3 linked regions of the Rhinolophus ferrumequinum genome follow. The protein of the gene in region 3 interacts with the protein of the main gene of each other region in a biochemical or structural test. Links are inferred from orthologs where the notes say so. Each region holds a gene or a part of one and is shown on either strand. Other genes may lie near its edges.

Region 1 (7,347 bases), on a different chromosome or scaffold from region 3:
TCCCACCTCACAGCCTTTGTTCCTGCTGACCCCTCTTCCGATACCACCTCACCGACCTCTTAACTCTCCTTTCTAGCATTCAGCACTGGCTCGAATGTCACTGACTACCCACAATCAAATAACCGCTCCCTCTGCTCATATATACTGACTGGTTCATTCCGAGAGCACATATATCTACCAGAAATTGTTCTTCTTGTGTGTCGTCTGCCTCTGCCACGAGCATATAAACTTTAGGAGGCAGGGACCATGGCTGCTTGGTTATCACTTTCCCCAGAACTGCCTGTGCCCAGCCTCTGGGGTGAACTGACTAAATAAATGCTGACTGCATGAATGGATGGATGGATGGATAGGTGTTTGGGAGGGAAGTGTCCATGTAAGAAACGTCCAAACCTGTAGAAATTTTATGTAAGACATTGAGGGTAATTTCTGGGGAGCAAGATAAATGGAGAGGGACAGTTTTGCAGTTTTCTTTCATGCATTTGGAATTAAGGAGGGAACAAAGGAAGATGACGGAGGTGGGAGAAACCGAGGCAGGGATTGGGAGAAAGCAAGGCGGGGACTGGGAGAAAGCAAGGCAGGGACTGGGAGAAAGCAAGGCGGGGACTGGGAGAAAGCAAGGCGGGGACTGGGAGAAAGCAAGGCGGGGACTGGACTACAGGGTAGTTAACAAGATCAGGTGCTCTCTTGAGGGTGGTCCCACTTATGTCAAAGGTGTGTTGCACAAAACGAGATGCACAGAAACAATGGACAGGGCTGCTTACGGCAAAGATAAGCCTCTCACTAAAGAAGTTACAGGCCTGGGGGGTGACTCCCCACCCTGACCTGCCCGGCTGGGAGTTGATGCTCGGGTCTCCCTGGGAGGTTACTGGCCACGGGACCCCTTTTTGGTCCCAGCTGGAGTCTGGCCTGCAGGCTGGCAGCCCTGTAATGAGGCCTGCTGTCCCTTCTGTGATGTCAGCTCCCTTTGGAGTGTTGGGGACAGGTTGCTGTGGGGAGGGAAGGGCAGAGCAGCCCCCCAAATGCACAGCCTCCTTTGAAGGGGCTGCTGGTGTGCAATGAATGATGGAAGGAGGGCAACAGCGGCACTCGTTGAGCACCAGTGCCAAGAAGTCAGCAGTAAATAAGGTGCGTGTGGTTCCTGTCCACAAGGTGCGAGGCTCGGGGAAGACGGACACTAACAACCCATTACTTGCGTGGTCAAGTGCTACAAGAAATACAAGGGCCGCGGAAGGGCTCAACTGAGAGACCTGACTTGATGCACGTGGTGAGGGCAGCAGGGAGCGGGAAAGGCTTTTCTGAGACCTCCATGTTTTCATTGGTAACTGAAGGCTGCAAGGGAGCCAAGAGAGCCTTCTAGAAAGAGGGAACAGATGGGATGTACCCCTACGGTAAGAGAACATGATTCCTTCTCTCTGAGACCTGAAGGATTCCAATAAGAAAAGAACAAAAGCATCTTTTTCCTGGCTTTGCGCAGAGTTGGGAAGAAGTGTGGTTGGCTAGGCCTGTTAGTAGTACATCATGGGAACAGAGCTTCAGACCCCCTCCCCCTGGAAATCTTCAGGATTTAGGTTTTCTGGGTCACCTGATGTTGGAGAGGGAGACATCACTTATCTCCCTTTCAGGATTACTTCTCCAAACATGTAAACGTTAATTAAAGTGTTTTGAAAATAGGCCTATTAAGTACCAATTGTTAGTTCTGCTTGTTACCTTGAGTGCCCTAATTACAGGGCTTGTGTATCCGATTATGGTATATGATCAGCTACAATCTGAAGCGGAGGTTCTAAGAGTAGAAGGAAACCAATTAAAGTCCGACTTTGCAGAAGGTTGCTGCTGTTTTCACAGGCCAGACCTCCTTCACTCCTCACCAGTGCCATGCAGTCCGGGCAGTTTCGTCTGTTAATGACAGAGAAGTGAGGCAATCGTTAATACAAGTTAGTTACAGACTCCCTGCCCCTCACAGGAACTGACTCACGTATTTTCAGATGAAACCATGGAATTCTAGAGAGAGCCAGAAACTCAGAAACCTGTTTCCTTACCAGGAAAATGTCATCATCTCATGTGGGTTTTTATTAACGATGAACCACAAAACATGCGGTTGTCTTGGTTTTTATGAATTCCTTTTAAGCATTTTCTCTGAAGCATCCTGGCCATCAGAATTGGTGTTGGAGGTTAAGCTTAGTCCTGTCGACTTTTGAACTGGGGGAACTAGTGCTTTCAAGCTTATCATCAAATGGTTAAGCCTTGGTTCATTCCTTATTGCTCAAGAAAAGTCACCAGGGTCAGGAGAAGTAGGAGGGACAGTCATATTCGAAAGAGGAATTCTCTGTCAGGCAGTTTCCTTGCAGCAACTTAGAATTTCTATTAGGTCAGTGCAAAAGTAATTGCGGTTCGTGCAATTATTTTTAATCTTTTAAACCGCAATTACTTTTGCACCAACCTAACAGATAAACACACCTCCTTACAGCTCCCATCTGTATTCTTTAGCTGCTCGAATTCTCAGGAACTCAGGACAAAATCTCCTGAAGCGTACAGTCTCCATGTGTTGGCCCTCCCGCTCGGGTTGGAAATGGGTCGCGCTCCCAAAGGGCAGTGAGCACCTACCTCCAGATCCTGAGGAGCCTGTTTGAGGAAAACCCAGGATTCCCGGGGAGGGTCCCCATGCCTGGCCCGGCCCTGCTGCTCACTCACTGCATGTGCCCGGGTCCTCCCGGCCTGCCCATCTGTTAAAGGCAGTACAGGATTCGTTCTCCTAAATCTGACCAATCAGAATCCTCCCGTAGTGGGGCTTTTTCACTTTCCGGGATTTCTTGTAGAAGTAAGTAGTAAAGAAACAGGCTAACGTTGTTGCGTAAGTAAAAGAAAAGGGAAACCCCTAATGTCCATCAGCAGAAGAATACATGAGATACCTTCAGACAGTGTGGGCTGAATTGCAGTAGTGAGAACCCATGAACTGGAGCTGTGTGTAACCACATGGATGAACCTTACCGTGTTTCCCCGAAAATAAGACCTAGCCAGACCATCAGCTCTAATGCATCTTTTGGAGCAAAAATTAATATAATCTGCCCTGGTCCGGGAGGACCCGGTATTTATATTATATTATATTATATTATATTATATTATATTATACCTGGTCTTATATTAAAATAAGACCCGGTCTTATATTAATTTTTGTTTCAAAAGACGCCTTAGAGCTGATAGTCCAGCTAGGTCTTATTTTTGGGGAAACAGTACAAATATGGGCAAAAAGAAGTTGCAGAAAGGCAATACCTTTTATAAAGTTCTTTTAAAGTTGCTAAGCAATACTATATAATGTGAAATGTAAAGACGTGTGAGAAAGATATATTCAGGATAGCAGTTCCTTCTAGGAGAGAGGAAGAGGAATTCGATTTGGAAAAGGTACAGTGGGGGTTTCAACTGTATATATAATTTATTCCCTAAGGTCCATTGTGAATGTATGGCTGTTAATTATTCTCTATATCTTTTTGTGTATCTGAGGTATTTCATAATGAAAATAAAAATAACAGGAATTTAATTTATAAAAATACAGTTAGCTTTATGGAACATACTTCGGTCAGGAACTTGGCCAAGTCCTCTGAAATGAAAGCTGATGTTTCAGCGTGCAAACCCAGAGGGGCCACAGATCTTCAGCCATCACAAAGACTTCCAGTTATACTTACTACACAGTTCTCATGTGCACAAGGCAGTGAACTGACAGTTTTGCAAAATATTTTCAACGAGGCTATGCTGAACTAAGAGGCTGCAACCTGACGCCCTCTGGGAGGACCTTAGCCTGCAGACACATTTTCTTTGGGCTTCATCGTACTCACATTTTCAAAAATGAATTTGTGTCTTTTTTGAGATTTTATATTTTAAAAATCTGGACTGCCACCTATTGTGAAGCTATCATGAAATCTGGCACCCTTAGGCCCTCACTTCTACATGGCAGCGGCTGGCGGGGGCTGAGTAGCGACTGTCCCCTTTTAAGGGGGCATGTCCTCTCCAGTTGGCCAGTGTCCCCACCCAGTCAAATTCCCTCATTTTGTTACCTGCCAGACCCTGGAGGAACGTGAGTTTGCAACCTGCATTAATTTCAAGTTCTCACTTAACTAGAAAATTCAGTTATTCAACACATGCCTTTTCCTAGACACTCAGGTTAGGGATATAATTTTACCAGAATACACACGAAAAGCATCCTTCCTAAGAATTTACCGGTTCAAAGAACAGTACATGTGTGCTTTGGTTTTGTTTTGCCATGTTTGTAAAAGTGGCCATCATGGCAAACAGTACAGTGGAGCAGCTCAACCGTGAGGTGATACACGAGGCCGCCAAGGGATAGCTGGTATTCGTACACGGCCATGCGGCAATGCTGCCAAACGGATTTGCTGAGAAGGCAGTTATCTGTGCCTTCTAATTAAAGAGCTTGATTTAAAAAAAAAAAAAAAAAAAAAAGGTGCATCTGGCTAGCTGCCTATTGTCACGGTGAATTTTTATGCACATTTTCCCTCTTCTATTTTGGTGGGTCTGAAGATGACAACAGCAACGCGACAGGAAGTTCTTGGCCTCTACCGCCGAATTTTCAGGCTTGCGAGGAAATGGCAGGCGTCGTCAGGACAGATGGAAGACACCATTAAAGAAAAAGAGTACATATTAAATGAAGCCAGAACACTGTTCCAGAAAAACAAAAATGTAAGTAGGCCTCAGCTGGAGAGCGAGAGGAGAGCAGTGTCTTGCATTTGTTCATTTCTTGTCTGTCCCAAATGGAGAGGACGGAGCAGCGTGAGTCACAGTGGCAGAGTCTGGGCAGGAAGGGAAGGAGCCGGAGGCCCAGCTGATGGGAAGCAGAGCCCGGCCCAGGGCTCTCTCTTCACTCATTTCAGGTCTTGGTCCAGCCAGCAAGTGGCTGTGTCCCCAGGAGACCCCACGAGCCAGGTGACAGGAGTGAGGCCAGTGAGAGTTGCCAGGGGAGGCGCAGTTCGTCACATGATGTGCTGTCGCCGGACACTGCCACAGGAGGTGCGCAGGTCAATTTTGGTTTTCAATTTATAAACTATTCAAAGCCTCCAAGTCCAAACCCATTCAGAGGGAAGAGATTAGGATGAAGACACAGGCCTGCCTCATACTTAGCTGTGAACTGCAGCCTCTTTGGCTAGCACAGTGCGTCTGCCCTTTGGGACCAGAGAATTGGGTAAACTAGTGCTCCCATGAACTGGTTTAATGGAACTGCACACCCAGACACCAGGGAGCCAAACACCATTTCTGAGAGGCTCGGTGTGACTCATCCCGGTAAACCATCAAGCATTAGCTGTCAGCTCTTTGGAAGCCTGCCTGGCAACTCGCACGGAAAGAGGCTTTCAGCCCCTGGCTTTCCTTGCCCCCTTCTCATTGATCTCATGGATTCAATGCTGTCACTGTTCCCCTCGTGAAACTTCCTGACAATCCACTCTCTCTACTTTTTCCTCTCTGACCCGTCTCTGTCTCCTTTTTGGCCCTGTCTTCTCTCCACACCCTCCTGCCAGCTGTGGGGTCCTCTGAGGGTCAACCCTCTGCGCCGAGGCCCCAGGGGCAGACAGCCACCTTCTGGCTCCAGCTCCCAAATCGGGACACCCAGCCTTGGCTTTTCACCAGCCGTCTGAGGACCCCGTACCCCAAGACAGAGCTCGTCTTCCCACAAGAAGGCGTCCCCTTCCCAACTTGCCTATTTCTGTCACCATGCCTGCCACTGCTCTGCAATGCTCTGCTCTCATTGTTTCACTCCACAGGTATCTGAGCGCCCACCGTACGCCCAACACCTTGGGAATATAAAATGAGCAAAAGCAGCACGGTCCCTCAAAGGTATTTCAGAGTTAGATGGAAAGAAACGTAAAATTAGAGTTGGGATAAGTGCTACAAAAGACCCCCACCCTCGCAACCCGAACCCCAGCACCTCTGCCTTCTTGGGATCCCTGAAGGCTCCCCGCTGTACGAGGGCCACCCTGCTTGGGAAGCGGCTCTGACTCTCCCCCAGACAGGCCATACCTGCGTGCAGGGACCTTACACAGCCCTCGGAGGACTGGAAATAGGTCCTGCAAGTGCGGTTTCTGTTTCTATTGCATCCTTTAAAAATGTCTGTTTTGTCTATATTTATAATGACATTAGTACACTTACTGAACGTATACGTACAAATCAATATAAATACATATATGGATCTGTGGCCTGAGAAATATTTATTGAAAGGAGTAGGTGATCAAAAAGTTTGCAGACCACTGACCTATACCTACCCCTGAGGAGCTGGTCATACTTTTTCCTTGTCTGTTTCATGTATGTCGTGTGGTCTCCCCGACCCGCCTGTCAGTTCCTCAGGCTCAGACAATGTCTTATTTGATAGCGTATCCCTTGGGTCCTGCCTTGTGGTTGTCATAAATGACCGAGCATTGGATTCAATTGACCTTCTCCAGGAAGCCTCCCACGCTGCTCTGTCCTCACCTGATCCCGTCGTGAGCCCTGTCCTGAACTCCTGTGGAGCAGCCTGCAGCAGTGCCTGCGCTTGTGGATTTTATACCACTGGGCCCTTTCTGTAGCTTCATGTGTCAGTTGTTCTGCCAGGTAATAAGGCAGGGACGGTGGCCTCACAATGGCCAGCGTCCTGCTGGGGATGTCACAGGAGGACGTGCCCACCCGAGGACTGCTCACGACGCCCTGGGGTTTTCTTATGGCTCATCATTCCTTCCTTGGCCTCTGCTCGCCTTGGCTCAGTGTGCTGCGAGCCAGGAGGAGGCGTGTGTGCTGCTGATGGTACATGAGTGAGATAGTGGGGGCTACATGACCTTTAGTTGGAAGTTCTGTGCTTTGTTTACCGTGTGTTAGAAAGAAAAGAGTATCCGGCAATTTCCCAAATACTATGCTCACAAGAGAGTCCATTTAAAGAAAACGTTGAATGTTAATATAGGTGGTATGTAGATGTGGCAAAACCATGCAGGCAGCCTCTGAATGACTGGACTTGGGAGAACTGTACCCCACACTTGTTCAGGGGGACAGCTGGAGCCCCAGGAGCCCTCAGCGCCTTAAGCATAGCTTATCGGGGCTTCTTTCTCCCTGCTCCCTCATGCAGACACAAGTAGGTTCCTATAACCTCACTTGCAATAAGAGCTTGATGATCATCCAGAGGTGTCTTGTGTATCGCTCTGAATCCTCAGGGGCCAACCAGAAGGGCTGGGGACATCTGTTCCCGAGGTGGACACCAGAGCTACAGCTTCTGAGAAGCACGAAGGTCAGAAAGCTGGGCCTCTGCCCCGAGGGACGCAGCTGGGGTTCTGTGCATTGCACTTCCTGGAACTTTCCTCTGCTCCAGAGGTGCCGCCACAGGACACG
Region 2 (7,439 bases), on a different chromosome or scaffold from region 3:
GGGGGTTGGACGGCACCCAGCGGGGGGCTAGACAAGCCAATTCATTTCCCATCGCTGAGCAGGTCGGGGGAAGACAGAACCGACCTTAATCACACGGTGGTTAAAAAAAAAAAATAATAACTAGGAGTGGGTGGTAGAGAGAGGAGGCAAGGCCAGGGCACAGGATCTCCCCCCACTTGCTGCCCCATGCTCCCCACCTGTGGGCCCCAATAAATATTTGCAGGGGATGCCGGGGCTGTTGGCCCTGGCAGGGGTGGGTACGCGCCAACCCTATTTCAGGCAGCGCTCGAAGTAGGTGGAGCCGATGTAACCACCTCGCATGGAGCGCTGCACATTCTGCTCAAACAGCCGCCGGTTGTTCTGCAGGACCTCAGCGGCCTCCTTGTTCAGTGGGTCTTCGGGGTTGGGCTCCTGTGGCCAGTATGGGCAGGGGTCAACATGCCCAAGGGGCAGACAACCAACCTCCCCAAAGCCTACCCATCCAGCCCTACTCACCAAGAAGAGATACTGCAGGCCATAAATTATGGAGTTTATCGTAAGGACTGGCTTCCAGTCCTCTCTGTGGACAGAGAGCATCAGGTTCAGGGACTGGTGAGTGTGTGGCTGCCACACGCCCTGCTGGAACTGGTCATGTCAGGCCCATGGTGTGGGACAGTGCGGATGTGAGAGGCTAGGGGGAGGGTGCAGAGTAGGCCAGGCCAGGGAGAAAGCCAAGGTCTAGCCATGAGGAAGAAAACATGGAGATGAAGAGATAGAGGGACACAGACCACAGGAGGAGGGAAGGGCCACTGGTTCAGTGCAAAGCAATGAGGGGGGCCTGATAGGGCTGGGTAGAGCAGTGGAGGGCCAGCGCCCTCACCTGAGGATGTTGAGGCAGACGTTGCCCTCGAGGTCAATGTTGGGATGATAGACCATCGTCTCACACTTCACCTTGGGGGGGTCATGCGGGTAACCCTGGCCCACCTGGCTCCAGGAAAAGAGAGGGGGAAGTGGATAGGTACCCAGGCAGTGCTTGGTTGGGGCTTCATCTGTTGCCTCCTCAGCCCAGGGAGCCATCCCTACCCACCTGGAACTCACCTTAAAACTGAACACAAACTTCCCACTCTTGTAGAAGCCCTGTGAGGAAAGAGAAAAAGGTGTTAGGGCCCCATCCTGCAGGGCCTGACAGGTGAACCAGGTCTCCCTACTTGGGAACCAGCCCCTGGACTGTGCCTGGGTGTCCAGCTGAGTGTATCCTCACCTCATCAGGACAGATAACCAGCTTGAAGTTGAGGAGATCGTCGGGATCTGAAAAGCTGATGTCACACGTTTTGGGCAGGTTTAGCTCGTTTATGTCTGGATTTGCACAGCAGAGAAAGGGAACAAAGAGGGAAGAGTGAGAGAGGAGCGTGCTCAGAACAGGTACAGGTGCCAGCAGAGCCCCTATGGCTTCATCCAAGACTCCCAGGGCTGTCCTGGGCTGTGCCCCACATCCCCAACTCTCTCCTTGCTCTTTCTGCTCCCCAGTCTCCAAGCAGGATCTTCTGGGTCCAAAACAACACCCCAAATATGCATCTTCAGTTGTGGCTGTGCCCTAGCTCTCGGCCCAGAATAAACTCTAGACTCTTCTGAATACACCGCTCCCAAGTGGCCCCCAAGAGTCTCTGATAACCCCAAACCCCAGGATACCCAGCCATGACCTCCAACTTTCTAGTGGACCCTGCTTGTCCCCACCTGTCCACCCAAACTCAAGCACCCTGGCACCTCCATACTCTAAATCATCCCCTCACCAGTCCCAGGTCTCCAGCATCTCTCCTCTGCCTGTCATCCCAAACCCATGTTCCTATCTGACCCCCAGACCTGTGAGTCCCCAGCCTCACTCTCCCTGGCACCCACTATCCCTCCCTCCTCTACCTGTCACCCCAAACCCCAAATTGCCATATGATGACCCCCAGTCCGTCTCTACCCCATCTGACTCCCAGATTCCCAGTGACTCCAGCATAATATACGAAATCCTCTCCCACTCTTATCCCCAATCGGTGGCTCCCACTATCCCCATCTCCTTTGCTTGTCATTCAGGTTCCTGTTTGACCCCCCCCCGACTCTCAGTCCCCCGCCCCCTACCACCCCCCCCCACCGCCTGACCCTCAGATTCCCGGTCCCCAATACCAGACGCCTGCCTGGCTTTCCAACTATCCTAACTGCCCCATCCTGTGCCCCGCTTCTCTGATCCCTTTTACCCCGGTGACTGCATTACCCCACGCGATTCCCCCATCACCCCACCTCAGGGCCTGACCACCGACCCCCCACATCCATGGCCTCCAATCTGACATCGCTGACCCTGGGGGGAACATTATCCAACTCCTCGTTCCCTCATAACCCGACCCCAGGCTCTGACCCCCGACCCCTACCCTTCTGGATCCGCAGCTGCGCCGCCGACGCCTTCTTGCTGCTGCCCTTGGTGCCGCCCGCCGACTCCTCCTCCTTCTTCTGCTGCTTCAGCGAGAACAGCTTGATCATCCTGCCGCCGCCGCCGCCGCCGCCGCCGCCGCCGCGGGGCCCGGGACCCCGGCCACACGGCCGCCCGCCGCTGCCCGCGCCACTCGGACCCGCCGCCGCGGCCTTCTCCGCTGCTGCCGCGGCCCGTCCGGCCTGCCGCGCCGCTCCGCGCCCACCGCGCGTCCCGCGTCGGCTCCCGTAGTCCAGCTCCGGCCTGCCCCGGCGCCTCGGGCTCGCTCGGCGGTGCTCGAGCAGACTCGGCTCTCCTCCGAACTGTTCGGCCCCGCCCCCACCCGGCCGCTCCCTCCGCCTCCTCGCCCGCTCAGGTCTCGGGCCCAGCTGCGTCTGCGGCTGCGGGCTGTCTGGGACGCGCCGCCGGCTCGCTCACTCGCTCCTTCGCGAAGGGGTTGCGGCAAGGGGTGGAAGGAGGCGGAGGCGGTGTATAGGAGTCTCGGCAGCAGCGGCTTTGGCGCGGAAGTCCGCAACTGCCTCGGGCGCCCTACCACTTCGGCTATTTCCGCCGCCTTCCCGCTTCGGCTCTTCGAGCCCGGCCTGCCCTGTGCGCCTGCGCAACCACCGCCGCCGTCCCCGCCTCACGTTGCTCAGCGATGGGGCATAGGGTTCGGGCTTTTTCGGCTGGGCTCGAGTATTTTCGCTTGTCTAGGCGTCTCGTGGTCACTTCCGGAGACGCTCGCGGATACAGGCCAGGGGCGGTGTCGCCGCCATCTTTAAGTGGGGCAGATGCGGGCTGCTTCGCTCGCTCTCGGCCCATTCCCACTTGCACTAGTGCGGACCGCGGCGGGGGTGGGTCAAATGGGGTTTTTTCCCGGAGGTCACAGACAGGGGCATGGTGATCGCTGCGGGCCAGATCCCAGGGCGAGGCCAGGGGAGTTTCCCAGCGAGTGCGGAGTCTAGTACCCTCGTGTTCTATCTTAAATCCAATCAAAGAACCCGCTCGGGGAGATTCTAGTCGAGGTAAACTAACAAAATGTATTGTGCCAGAGTGGTCAGCACCCTGGAGGGTAATGCGGGTGGACACTCGGGTGGGGGTCGTTCTCGGCGCCTGTCATGAGCTCCGGCGGGGGCGCAGGAGGAACTTAAGCCGCCTGCAGGGGCGCTGTGGGCGGGGCCAGCCTCCCCTCAATCACAGCTCAGCCTGTCCCAAGGGTTCTGCAACTTCCGGCTGTCACCGCGGAAACCGTGAGGTGGGTCAGGATTGGCGTCACGAGGGTTGGCCAGCACCCGGGTGGACCAGTGGGGGCAGCCAGGGCTCTGCAGCTCAGCCCTTCCGGGTCCGAAGGCGGCTTCCGCGGCACGTTCCCGTCTGTCTCTGAAACAACTTGCCGTCCCCTCCCGGAGTATTGTGGGAGACATGGTCCCGGCGGTCCAGTTGGGGCCACGCTACGGTCGGCCAAGTTCCTCTCGGCCGCCTGCCCTGGCCCAGGCCCGTGGCCCTCACCTTGGCCCCATCCCCCATCCTCACCTCAAGGAGTCGCCTCCACCTCATCGCACCTTGGTCTGACGTCTATCCCGGTCCCAGCCTCCGCGGAGGCTCTGCCGTGAGTGTCGGTCACCCTTAGCGTCCTTGGTCTCCGTGGACTGATCCCAGCTGTATTTCTGTAATCGCTCCCCCTTTCGGCCCTTCCATTCTCAATGCCACCAACCCAGATGCCCCCTTCAACCCCCTGGTTGTACCAGCCTCACACTCCCAGCATCGTTTCTTGACTCCCGTGACAACTGAGTGCTGGAGGGGAGCCAGGGGCTAAGGATGGGGGCTCAAACCTCAAACAGCTCAGGTTTGGGGCTAATTGCAACCGTCCCAGCGTTCTCAAGGTTCAGACATAGTTGGTCCTGAGACTCAGAGGTCCCCTCCAGACTCGAGCTCTCCCTTTAACCCTTCCTCTCTGTTGTTCTTAGCTGTTCTGCTCTTGATTATTTTCATAAACGCTATTTCCACATTAGGGTTGATGACCATCACGCTGTTTCCAGCCAAAGTTTCAAGGGGGAAGTTTCTATTGGCCAACCTGACCCAGGTGTTCATCCTCAGGCCAGTTGCTGAGGCCCATCAGCTGATGGCCCATCTGGGGATAGGATATTGGTTCCCTGGAGAAGTGACACTGGACTAGGCAAAGCTAGACTTCTGTGGTCTCTAACATCGTGGCTTCCCCACGGTGCAGTGGGACTCAACCATGCCAGCTATGCGAGGCCCTTGGGTCGGGCATGGCCAGACTGAAGTAGAGGGGCGGGTTGGAAGTGGTGCATCTGTGTGTTCCTTCTCACCCTCATAGCCACCCAAGTGGTCGCGGGGCACAGGTGGTTTGGGTGTCAAGAATTCCTGTAGGCCATGGGCCTGCAGCCTTTTGGGAGGCACAGGGCTTGCCACGTGTAAAGGCCCTGAGGGAAGCTGGCGTCAGAGCCCTGCAGGGAGGAGGCAAAACGTGACGGGCAAGGAGTGAGGTGTTAGGCTAGCCTCTGGGAACTGACGCTGGGAAGATAGTGTCCATTTTTTAAAGGAGGGGCAGGAACCGGCAGGGAGGCTGAGTGCTGTGGACCTCCAGGCTGGAGATGGGTGGCTGGGATCAGAGCAGTGCTTCGGAGTGGACAGAAGTGGACAGATTTGGAAAGCTGGGGTTGGGGTGAGAATAACTGGGTTTATATTGCATGGGGAGGCTGGGCTTGGGAGAATGAGGTAAAGTCCTGAAAGAATGTGGATTTCCAGATAAATCCTTCCAGCCTTTACACCTAAGAAATGTCTTCCTAGGTTTCAAGTTTTACAAACACACATCCTAGGCCGGCTGTGGCCTGCTGTGCACGTTTGCTACTTATACTGCATGTGATAATCTTGGCTGGCTGGGGAGAACTGGGCCAGTCCAGGTCCACGCCTGGCAGCTGGCTTGATGTGGATGTGTGAGTCGAAGGCATCTTGGGCAAACAGTACAAGAGCCATGGTATAGGGGGCACCCCGCTAGGACAGACAAGGACAGCTGCTGCTAGGAGCCACCTCTGCAGGGGGACATGGCTCTCCTAGGGTTGCAGTGGAAGTGGTGGATGGGTGGGGTGGCAGGGGGACCCACGCAGGTGGGGAGGCACTGTGTGTGTGAAGACCCAGACCCAGGGTTCCTTCTACTGTTTATTGAGCACCTACTGGGGGGGTCAGGCCCTAGGTGGACCTGCTTCTATGTATGCGATCGCAGGCACAGCAACCCTGTGAGGTAGGTGTTCTGTCCTGCTAATCCCACGCACAGCATGGAGGTGGATGCAGACGGGGTGCACTGACCACTGGCTACTCCATGCTGTGGACGCGCTGGTGCTGGATGAGCTTGGTGCTCTGGTGGAAGCGACGGCCACAGTCCTGGCAAGCGAAAGGCTTCTCACGCCGGTGGGTGCGCAGGTGTTGCGTGAGCGTGGGTCGCTGGCGGAAGGCCTTGCCGCACTCGGGGCACGCGTAGGGGCGCTCGCCTGTGTGGATGCGCCGGTGCTGCGTGAGGTTGGCGTGCTGCCGGAAACTCTGGCCGCACTCCGGGCAGGTGAAGGGCCGCTCGCCGGTGTGGATGCGCTGGTGCTCCGTGAGCCGCGAGACCTGTGTAAAGCCCAGCCCACACTCGCTGCAGTGGTAGGGCTTCTCCCCGGTGTGTGTCCGCTGGTGGCGCGTGAGCTTGAGACGCTGGCTGAAGCGCTGGCCGCAGTCGGGGCAGGCAAAGGGCTTCTCGCCCGTGTGCACGCGCAGGTGCTGCGTGAGCGTAGGCCGCTGGCGGAAGGCCTTGCCGCACTCCGCGCAGGCGAAGGGCCGCTCGCCCGTATGGATGCGCCGGTGCTGTGTAAGGTTGGAGCGCTGACGGAAGCTCTGGCCGCACTCGTTGCAGGCGAAGGGCCGCTCGCCGCTGTGCACGCGCCGGTGCTGCAGCAGCACCGAGCGGCGGCCGAAGCGCTCACCACATTCCACGCAGCCGAAGGATTTGTCCCCCGTGTGCACGGCCTGGTGCTCCAGCAGCACGGCGCGCCGCGCGAAGCTCTCGCGGCACTCACTGCACGGGAAGGGGCCTGGTGGCTCGGGCACACTGGGAGGCGCGGGGGGCCCAGCACCTGGGCCAGGAGGGTCGCCGTGGACGCGCTGGTGCTGCAGCAAGTTGGAGCGCTGCCGGAAGCTCTGGCCGCATTCAGCGCAGTGGAAAGGCTGCTCGCCCGTGTGCACGCGCCTGTGCTCCTCCAGGCGCGCGCTGCGCACGAAGCCCTGGCCGCATTCGTCGCACACAAAGGGCCGCTCCTCTGTGTGAGTGAGCTGGTGGCGCAGCAGGTGCGAGCTGCGGCTGAAGCTGCGGCCGCACTCGCCACACACGAACGGTCGTTCTCCCGTGTGTATTTTCTGGTGCCGCAGCAGGTTACTACGTTGGCTGAACACCTTCCCACACACGTCGCAACGGCCACCTCGCACTGCCCCGGCGCCTGTGCTCGGGCGGCCCCGGCCCCGGCCCCGTCCCCGGCTCCTACCCCTGGGGGTGTGCCAGCGGGCAGTGGCCAGTATGTGGCCCATGCCTTGGCAGGGATCCTCGTCCATGGGGTCCTGCTCACCTCCCGGGTCGCTGGGGAGCACGAGCGCATGTGAGAAGCCACCTTCTCGGGAGGGTGACCGGAGTTGACCCGTGAGGCTGGACACACCGAGGTTCCAGGGGATGTGTAGGTGGGGGTTCATAGTGCCTGAGCCAGCAGAGACACTGTCCATCTGGAGCGCAAAGCCTGCATTGCACAAGGGGATCCACTCCTTCATGACAGAATCCACTGTGCCCAGACCACTCCAGCCCTGGGAGAAGTGAGAACTAGAGGGACCTGAAACTGACCAAGGAGGTGACAGAGCATGAAGAGGGAGACTGAGAAGCTGGGGACAAGCTTTCCAAGTCTGACTTAAGTTTGCAAAAATCGCCATCCTGGAAGGGCTGTAGTGCAAAGGTGGGGCAGGTGGCCCT
Region 3 (7,750 bases):
TGTGAACTAAAGATAAATAGCTTATTGAAGACATTTAAGATAACGCTATTTTTTACATTTGTTGACTGCTGTATTTATAATTCACATAATTATTAAATCTAGCGTAAAGTTTAGACTATTTACTTTTATAGCTCTTTGAATCTGTGCTCTATCTCAACTCCAAAATTAGCTTACTTCACAAAGACAGAGATGATGACTTATAAATGTCAACATATACTTTCTTTGTCTCAAATGAAAGCAATACATATTCGTAATTGTCCCCTGGAGATTTCTTGATACAGTTGCTGTTACCAATAAGAGGAAATTCTTTTTCATCAAAATAAAATTACATGGATGCAATGCCTATAATTTTCAATTGAGGATTTATGTTCTGCTAAATTAGGTTAGTTGGTTGTATATATAAATATTTTTTTTTCCAAAATATTAATTTACTGGATAAATGTGGAATAAACAGAATACTGTCCAGGCCAACTAGGAAATTTCCAGAGCTGCCAGTGAGATGCTTTTATTTAGCATGATAATATGATGAAAAATTGAGATGGGTTTTTATAAGAGACATTTTAAGATTTTTCTTTAATTCAAGATGTAACTTTGTATCATATCCTCATATGTTTTAGATGCTTCTTGTCTTGATGATATATGTAGGGAAAACAGTAAGGACAAACTAGAAAAGGGGTATGGAGAAGACAGACAGTTTTCATATAAGTAAGTGTCTGTGGTTATATTTCAATGGGATACTCTTCCAACACGTCATCTTATAAATCACATACAAATTCTACTGTTCTAAATATGTACAAATCTAATGGCCTACAATACATATTTGTATTATAGAAAGAAAGTAGAAGACCTAGCCCTTACTTTCCAATAAGTGATAATATCTATAAATGTTCCCCTTCCAATTTGAAAATATAGTTTTCCCTAACTCGGTCTTTGTCCATTCAAAACCATTGAACAGGTCTTTCTAATTGAATTGGTAGACTGTCAGCTGTTTTAATAACCAATATCAGCACAATCAAGTCAGCAGGTCTGATACAGTGATTAAAGTGGCTTGGTATCCTGGATACCTAGAAACTCATGGCCAAGAGGCTATTCCCTTTCACTGGCTTCTCATAGTCCGTGCTGTCCATTTCTAGACTGAGATGTAGAGAAGGGGCTGTCTCACCCAGCCTCCCAGCTTTGACTGCACGTGCTCCATACAAATAAATGGAAATGTGGTTACTGTTCTCCTGTGTCAGGACTCTGTCAGCATAAGTAGGAATACTAACCAGCAGACATGCAACATCTAGTGAGTTCCTATTCCAACACTGCTTTCTCTGCTAGATCAGGTGGCATTTGGCAGAAAAACTAATATCCTGACAGTTAATTTGCTATTTGCAAGTCAGGGAATACCACTGGGCATAGAATAGTCTACTGCTGCTTTAGAGAGTATTTTGTATACATTTTGAGGATGCTGGTTTTCCTAGGAAGAAAAAAATCTGATTTCTGGACTGGAGTGCATAGGAAGTTATTGCCACATCCAACTTGGGTCTGTGGTTCCAAAATTTGAGATGTGAAAAGGAACTCCCATGTTTCCCTGAAAAAAAGACAGCCAGACAATCAGCTCTAATGCGTCTTTTGGAGCAAAAATTAATATAAGACCCGGTCTTATTTTACTATAACATAAGACATAACATTTACTATAACATAACATGTTATATTACTATATAAGACCGGGTCTTATATTAAATTTTGCTCCAAAAGACGCATTAGAGCTGATTGTCTGGCTAAGTCCTAATTTCGGGGAAATACGGTATATGTTCTGCGATGGCAGGTCTTATCTGTCTTATTCACTGAGAGCCTGACATATAGCAGTCATTAAATAAATATTTCTTGAATAAATGAAGGAATAACTGAACAAATAAATGAGCAGTAGGTTTCTTAATGGCAGTGGCAGACAAATTCATTTTGAAGAGTTTTTCTGGGTCTTTGTGGTTAAAGCCTAACGGAAGACATAGTTGATAGTGATTCTTTTAAAATGCAGTTAAATTTTGCTTAAGCAAAACCAACATGAAAATCTGAGCTCAGGAAAGAAATTAATTAAAGGGTGATTATGTGCATCACAATTATATGGAAACATGCTTTAATGCAGGGAGTTCCTAAATGTAAGCCCATGATGTTTTCTCACATTCACAGTGAAATGAGAAATACCAGCTCAGTATATTGTTCCTCACAAGCTTAAATTAATCAATTTAAGAAACTGTCCTTTATTCAAAAATTGACCTTCCCCCACTTATGCAGTTAAAATACTTAAAAAAAAAAAAAAGATAATGGACCCAGTTTAATGCTAGTTATTCCTTTTTAATGCCCTTACTTGCCAAAAAATATATTATTGTTTTGTGAAATCCAGGTGTTGGAGACTGGCTCATTTTTAAAATAAAATTCATTTTATAAAAGCATGAAAGCTTTCTTTTTTTTTTTTTTAATAAACTTACATATTGAATAAAGGAAGATACCGTATTTCCCCAAAAATAAGACCAGCTCTTAACTTTTGCTCCAAAAGACGCATTAGGGCATATTTTCAGGGGATGTCTTATTTTTTCATGTACAACAATCTACATTTATTCAAATACAGTCATGTCATCTTCTTCTGGAACATTGTCACAACGTGTTGAATGCGTCCTTCTGGCTGACAATCTTAACCGGGGCTTATTTTCGGGATAGATCTTATTTTCGGGGAAACACGGTAGTGTAACCTTGGCCTTGGCCCATGATAACAGCCAACAGGTGTTGAGTGGCCACTCTGTCCTGAGCACTGCTCTCAGCTTTTAAAAATGTATTAAATCATTTAAATTTCATAGTAGTCCCAGGAGGAAGTATTATTATTATCCCCTTTTTACAGATGAGGAACTCCAGGTATAAACAGTCAAAGCCTTACCCCAAAAGATACATAATAGAGGTAGTAAAGTGATAGAGCTAGGAATCAAACCAATGGGTCCAGAACATGTATGTATATTCTTACATTACAAAGAAACTGGGCCACAGGACAGTACCGTCAATAGAAAAACATTGGTTGTTATTTTCTAATGATTATGGAAATACAGGCTCAATTAGCATACAGATTATAAACTTCTATCCAAGACTCATGTTATCTTACGTTTAAATCTGAGCTCCACCCATTCTTACCTTATCAACCCAGTTCTTGATGACCTATTTTTAGCTTCGGTGTTTACACAGACTTTTTTTTCCAGCTACATCCTCATTTCTTAACGTTGTGTTTTGATTAGCAAATACCAAAAAAAAACAAAACAAGAAAATATATTTCCAAAATGGGGCATTTCAATCAAGTAGGGGATGAAAGCACACACTCAAATTTAGTCATCAGGATTAAGTTAATTTAGGGCAAATTCAACCTTATTGTCAACAAATAGAAAAGTATATTTCAGTTTAGTTATTAAAAAATATAACATTCCCAACTTCCAAATGCTACATAAAAGTATTAAAACCCCAGCTTCCAAATGTAGATACCCATCCCAACAGTAGGTTCTTATTTAAAATGCAAAAATCACAAATTTTATTGGGAACTCACATACATATTTCTCTGCAGCATCAGAAATCCCAATATAACATCAATTGGACCAAGAGGTAAATTAGAAAGTAAAATTCAAAACTAATGAATCACACTAGACCTTTTGACTATAATGAAAATAAAAAATTCCAAATTTGCAGCAAACTGAATCAAAGACAATAATTTTGGCTTTCAAAACCTACAACACTCTTGGTAGTGGTAAAAATGATTAGGTAGGTGAAAGGTAGCTTCTATTAGGTTGGTGCAAAAGTAATTGCGGTTTTTGCAATGTATACATATTTTTTAACGTTTTAAACCGCAATTACTTTTGCACCAACCTAATATTCTATCTTCTATTTAACACCATGCACCAAAATACTGCACTACATTAAGGGAGTTGTCATTTTATTTCAATGGTATCGAAAAAGAAATTTTAACACTTTGAAGTCCTGGGTCCCTCAAAAAATATCAGGGATTCAAGACATCCTGGAGCTTCTTCTTCAGTTTAAGGAAACTTTATGGTCTAAAATCTCCACCTCTCAGGCCTGCGAGTTGGGGTGTGCACATCCAATCCGAGTATCTTCTTAAGCATACAGGACCCTAACTCCTGACTCTGCAGGTGACTCCTGCACAAACTTCTTTCAACTTTCTAGCTTCTGCTTAAGTACTCATCCCTAGTCCACATGCCCTAGAAAACCACAGGAACCAGTTCTAGAACGTAGTTACTCACCTGGCACCTCACGCTCCTCCCCGAGACTGTCCTCCGGCCCCAGCCCCAGCCCCAGCCCCCACCCTAGCCCAGCCCAGTCCAGACCGAACCAGCCCACTACAATCCCGCTCTGCCTATCAGAATTTCCCCCGCCCACTCGGTCCACGTGACCAGGACCCCCGACCCTGCTCCGCGCTCCACCAATCATCAACCACCTCTGACCAGAACCGGTCTCCGACGCTCCCCTTTCAAAAAGGAAGCCTACTCCTCTCGCCCTCAGCCCCTCCCCTTTCGCACCTCCCCGCCCAGTTGGCCCCTCCCACTTCCCCAACTCCTCGTTCCCCTTCTCTCCTCGCGTTGCCCCCTCCGCTGCCGGGCTTCGCCCCGCCTTACCTGGGAGTGCGCGCTCGCCTTGTTCTCGCGAGATCTGAGCGTCCCCCCCCCGCCGCGGCCAGCCACCTCCCCCTCCCGTCCTCCCACCCCCCTCCCCCCAATCTCTCCACTCTCAGGCTCTCCTCCCTCCTTCCTCCCCCCTCCACCCTCTGGGCCGGATCTCGTCTCGCTGAGGCGGAGGAGGAGAAGGAGGAGGAGGACGTTCGGCCTGCGCAGTGAGATGTTTGTCCGTCGCCGCCGCCGCCGCCATCGCGGAGGAGCGCGATAAAGGGAGCCGAGCCGAGCCGGGCGTGAGGGGGGACCCCGCGGAGCCACCGCGCCAGCGCAGTTCCCCAGCCAAGCCCCAGCCGCCGGAGCCTGAGCCGCCGCCGTCCCCGCCGCGGCTGCCCAGGGGCCGGCCAGCTCCTCAGCCCACCCCGGGGGCCGCACCGCCGCCCCCAGCGTCGCCCCTCGCCTGCCCGCCCGCCTTAAATGTGACACCGGCGCCTCGGGGTGCGACCCGAAGCCGCCGCTGGGGAGGGGACGAGCACCATGTCGAATCTGAGCAAAGGCACGGGCAGCCGGAAGGACACCAAGATGCGGATCCGGGCCTTTCCGGTGAGTCTCTACTCGGCACTCGGGACCCCGGGGCCGGGGGCCCGCCCGAGAGCCGCACGCGAGGCCGGGGCTGAAGTCCCCCAACAGGCCGCAGGCCCGTCCTCCCCTCCCCCACGCCGCCGACCGCGGGGCGCGAGCCTCCCAGGCAACGGGGCGGCGCGGGGCCCCTGCGCGGCCGCCCTCCCGGGCCGTTCCCGGTGCCCGGCGCCGCGCCCCCGCCCAGAGCTGCGCCTCCAGGCGCTCCGCGGGCGTCGGCTACGGCCGGGGCCGCATCGCGGGTCCCAGCACCTCCTCACGTTACTGGGGTGTAGGCCCAACCCCTAGCACTCCTCTCCTCGCTGGGTTCCAGAGACTCCCAGTTCTGCGGGGATGGGGACTGGCGAAGTCCTCCTTGTATGGGGCCTGCGTGTAACTTTTCACGTGTGGTTTCGCTGCGGTTTAACAAAATAACCCGGCCTAAAAGACAAACATTTCGGATGATGATGAAGACTATGTTCTCTCGTCCCATTCTCAGGGAGGGTTATGCCATCAACCTACCCCCGACACAGTGACAGTGGTTCCACGTAATGCTCACAGTAATGCACTAATACCATCAAGTGTATTTACGGCATCTCTCATCCACAAGCTTTCAAAGCACTTACACATTCTCTTGTGCAGGAATTGCCTCCCCACCCGTAGGAGGGTCAGGAGAAGCAAGGGAGAACACATTGGACAGTTGGTTCTCAATTTCTTAGTCGTAGAACCCCAAAAGAACGAGTAGTCACCACCCTGAGTTCCTTTTCTCTATCGGTTTTAGTGACAGCAGACATATTCTGTGTAGAAACTTTCTTTTTAGCATTACGTTGAGTCATACGCTTGCGGTGTGTAGTGTATATGGTATAACTTTGGATGTCAAATCTGATGCAGGTAGGCAGTGGCAAGCAATTAAAATATACTGTTGTAACAGAAACTGGACATACTTGCTCATGTCGCTACAGTAACGAGTATATGTCAGGATAGACAAACTAGTAATTGAACAGAAGATTTTGTTTTAAAACAGTAAAACTAGAGAAAGATCTTGGATTTTCTTTCTTAGAATCAAACATACCTTGTGAGGAAGGAAAGGGGGAGGAGGGTTTGTACTCCTTGAAGCATGCTTTTTCTAAAGTGTAGTTTGCAGTGAAGATACACTTTATTAATATAATCGTCCTAGTTGAGTAAGAAACCCACCCAAGGAACTTGACCTCTCTGAATTCTTAAAACTTAAAAAAATACATGTGATGCAGAGTTCTGAAATTGTAATAACAGAAGTACTAATGTCAGTGTGTGGAAACTTCCGGTTTTATGTAAATAAAGGTAGGATAGACTCAGCAGAATTAAGTATTTTGATAGTGATTAAAGGGATTTTGAAGTTTTAAAATTTTTTCCCCTAAGTAAATGAGAAACTACAGAGAAAGTAAGAAATGTTGACAAAAGACCACTAATGAAGTCCACTAGCGTGTTTTCTCTTAGAATGGAACAGTGAACTGGGTTTATGAATTTGTGAGGTTAGTTTTTCCTACAAAATCAGATCTGACCATTTTTGGCAAAATTTAGAATTCAGTATTTAATTTTCTACAAGTTTTCTAGGATGAGTTTGCTATTCTTGGGGTCTGAGTTCTAATGATTCAGATTATTACTAAAATGTGGAATAGCTCACATTTGACATCAACTCATTTATGTTAATATTCTGATTAACCAGTTATACCTTTATGTATTGTCAGCTCTTTGATCTTTGTAGTTTGCCTGTTCCTACCTGTTTTCACATTCCTTCCTTCCTTCATTCATTCAACAAATACTGAGTACTGTGTACCAGGCTCTGTTCTAGGGGTTTGGGGTATAGCAGTATAGCTTGAAAGACCAGGATCCCTGCTTTCTGGATTTTGTATTGTTGGGAAGAAGTGGTGAGAGAGAATTTCATTATTCCTTTAGCTGAGGAGATAATATGAGATAGGTTAGGACATAGTACTGAAACTGAATTTTTTTTTTAAATAGCAATATGATTATACGCTAATTTGGATCCTTTCTGTCTCAAACTTGTTGCCTGATAACGTTTTTCTAAAATCCTTGTGACTAGTGTTTGATATTTAGTAGTTAATATAGGCTAATTTTTAAAAGCATAAGACTTTTTATTATATCATTATTGTTAATATCATTCATAAGTAGTTCTCAGTGAACCAGTACATTTTTTAATGTATAAATTTTTAAGTCATACTTCCTTGAGCCTTCATTAAAGATAAATACATGCCTCAGAAGTACGGTATTTCCCATGGTAAATGTTTGAGTTCTTGCAGACCTTCTAAATTTTTCCTTTCTCCACGTTAGTGATCTTTTACATAACTATAATCTACATAGATTGCTAGTCAGAAGTAGTAAATACGCAGTATTCCATAAATAAAAAATATTGTGTATGTATGTACATACTTACAAATATTGTATTTTTACAGTACCATTTGGTTATATAGTTACTATAATTTAAGGGAAATTAT

The links. The genes of interacting proteins can lie anywhere in the genome.
Region 1: the proteins of CUL3 (region 3) and DCUN1D3 form a complex in vitro, tested with the Homo sapiens proteins (3 studies listed by BioGRID, with this or other methods). The link is inferred for Rhinolophus ferrumequinum from reciprocal best matches to the Homo sapiens genes CUL3 and DCUN1D3.
Region 2: the proteins of CUL3 (region 3) and UBE2M form a complex in vitro, tested with the Homo sapiens proteins (2 studies listed by BioGRID, with this or other methods). The link is inferred for Rhinolophus ferrumequinum from reciprocal best matches to the Homo sapiens genes CUL3 and UBE2M.

Annotation. Positions count from the first base shown.
Region 1 is NW_022680357.1:16,190,686-16,198,032, forward strand, and holds the start of DCUN1D3 (DCN1-like protein 3), read right to left. Parts: upstream 3,007-7,347; 5' UTR 1,708-3,006; intron 1-1,707. Other genes in the region: LYRM1 (LYR motif-containing protein 1), read left to right, coding at 4,528-4,686. UniProt on the Homo sapiens protein: Contributes to the neddylation of all cullins by transferring NEDD8 from N-terminally acetylated NEDD8-conjugating E2s enzyme to different cullin C-terminal domain-RBX complexes and may play a role in the cell cycle progression by regulating the SCF ubiquitin E3 ligase complex, after UV damage.
Region 2 is NC_046298.1:50,990,707-50,998,145, forward strand, and holds the start of UBE2M (NEDD8-conjugating enzyme Ubc12), read right to left. Parts: upstream 3,007-7,439; 5' UTR 2,500-3,006; coding exon 2,391-2,499; intron 1,336-2,390; coding exon 1,241-1,335; intron 1,117-1,240; coding exon 1,078-1,116; intron 964-1,077; coding exon 860-963; intron 560-859; coding exon 496-559; intron 412-495; coding exon 271-411; 3' UTR 1-270. Other genes in the region: MZF1 (myeloid zinc finger 1), read right to left, coding at 5,762-7,308.
Region 3 is NC_046291.1:12,007,670-12,015,419, forward strand, and holds the start of CUL3 (cullin-3), read left to right. Parts: upstream 1-4,747; 5' UTR 4,748-5,177; coding exon 5,178-5,243; intron 5,244-7,750. UniProt on the Homo sapiens protein: Core component of multiple cullin-RING-based BCR (BTB-CUL3-RBX1) E3 ubiquitin-protein ligase complexes which mediate the ubiquitination and subsequent proteasomal degradation of target proteins.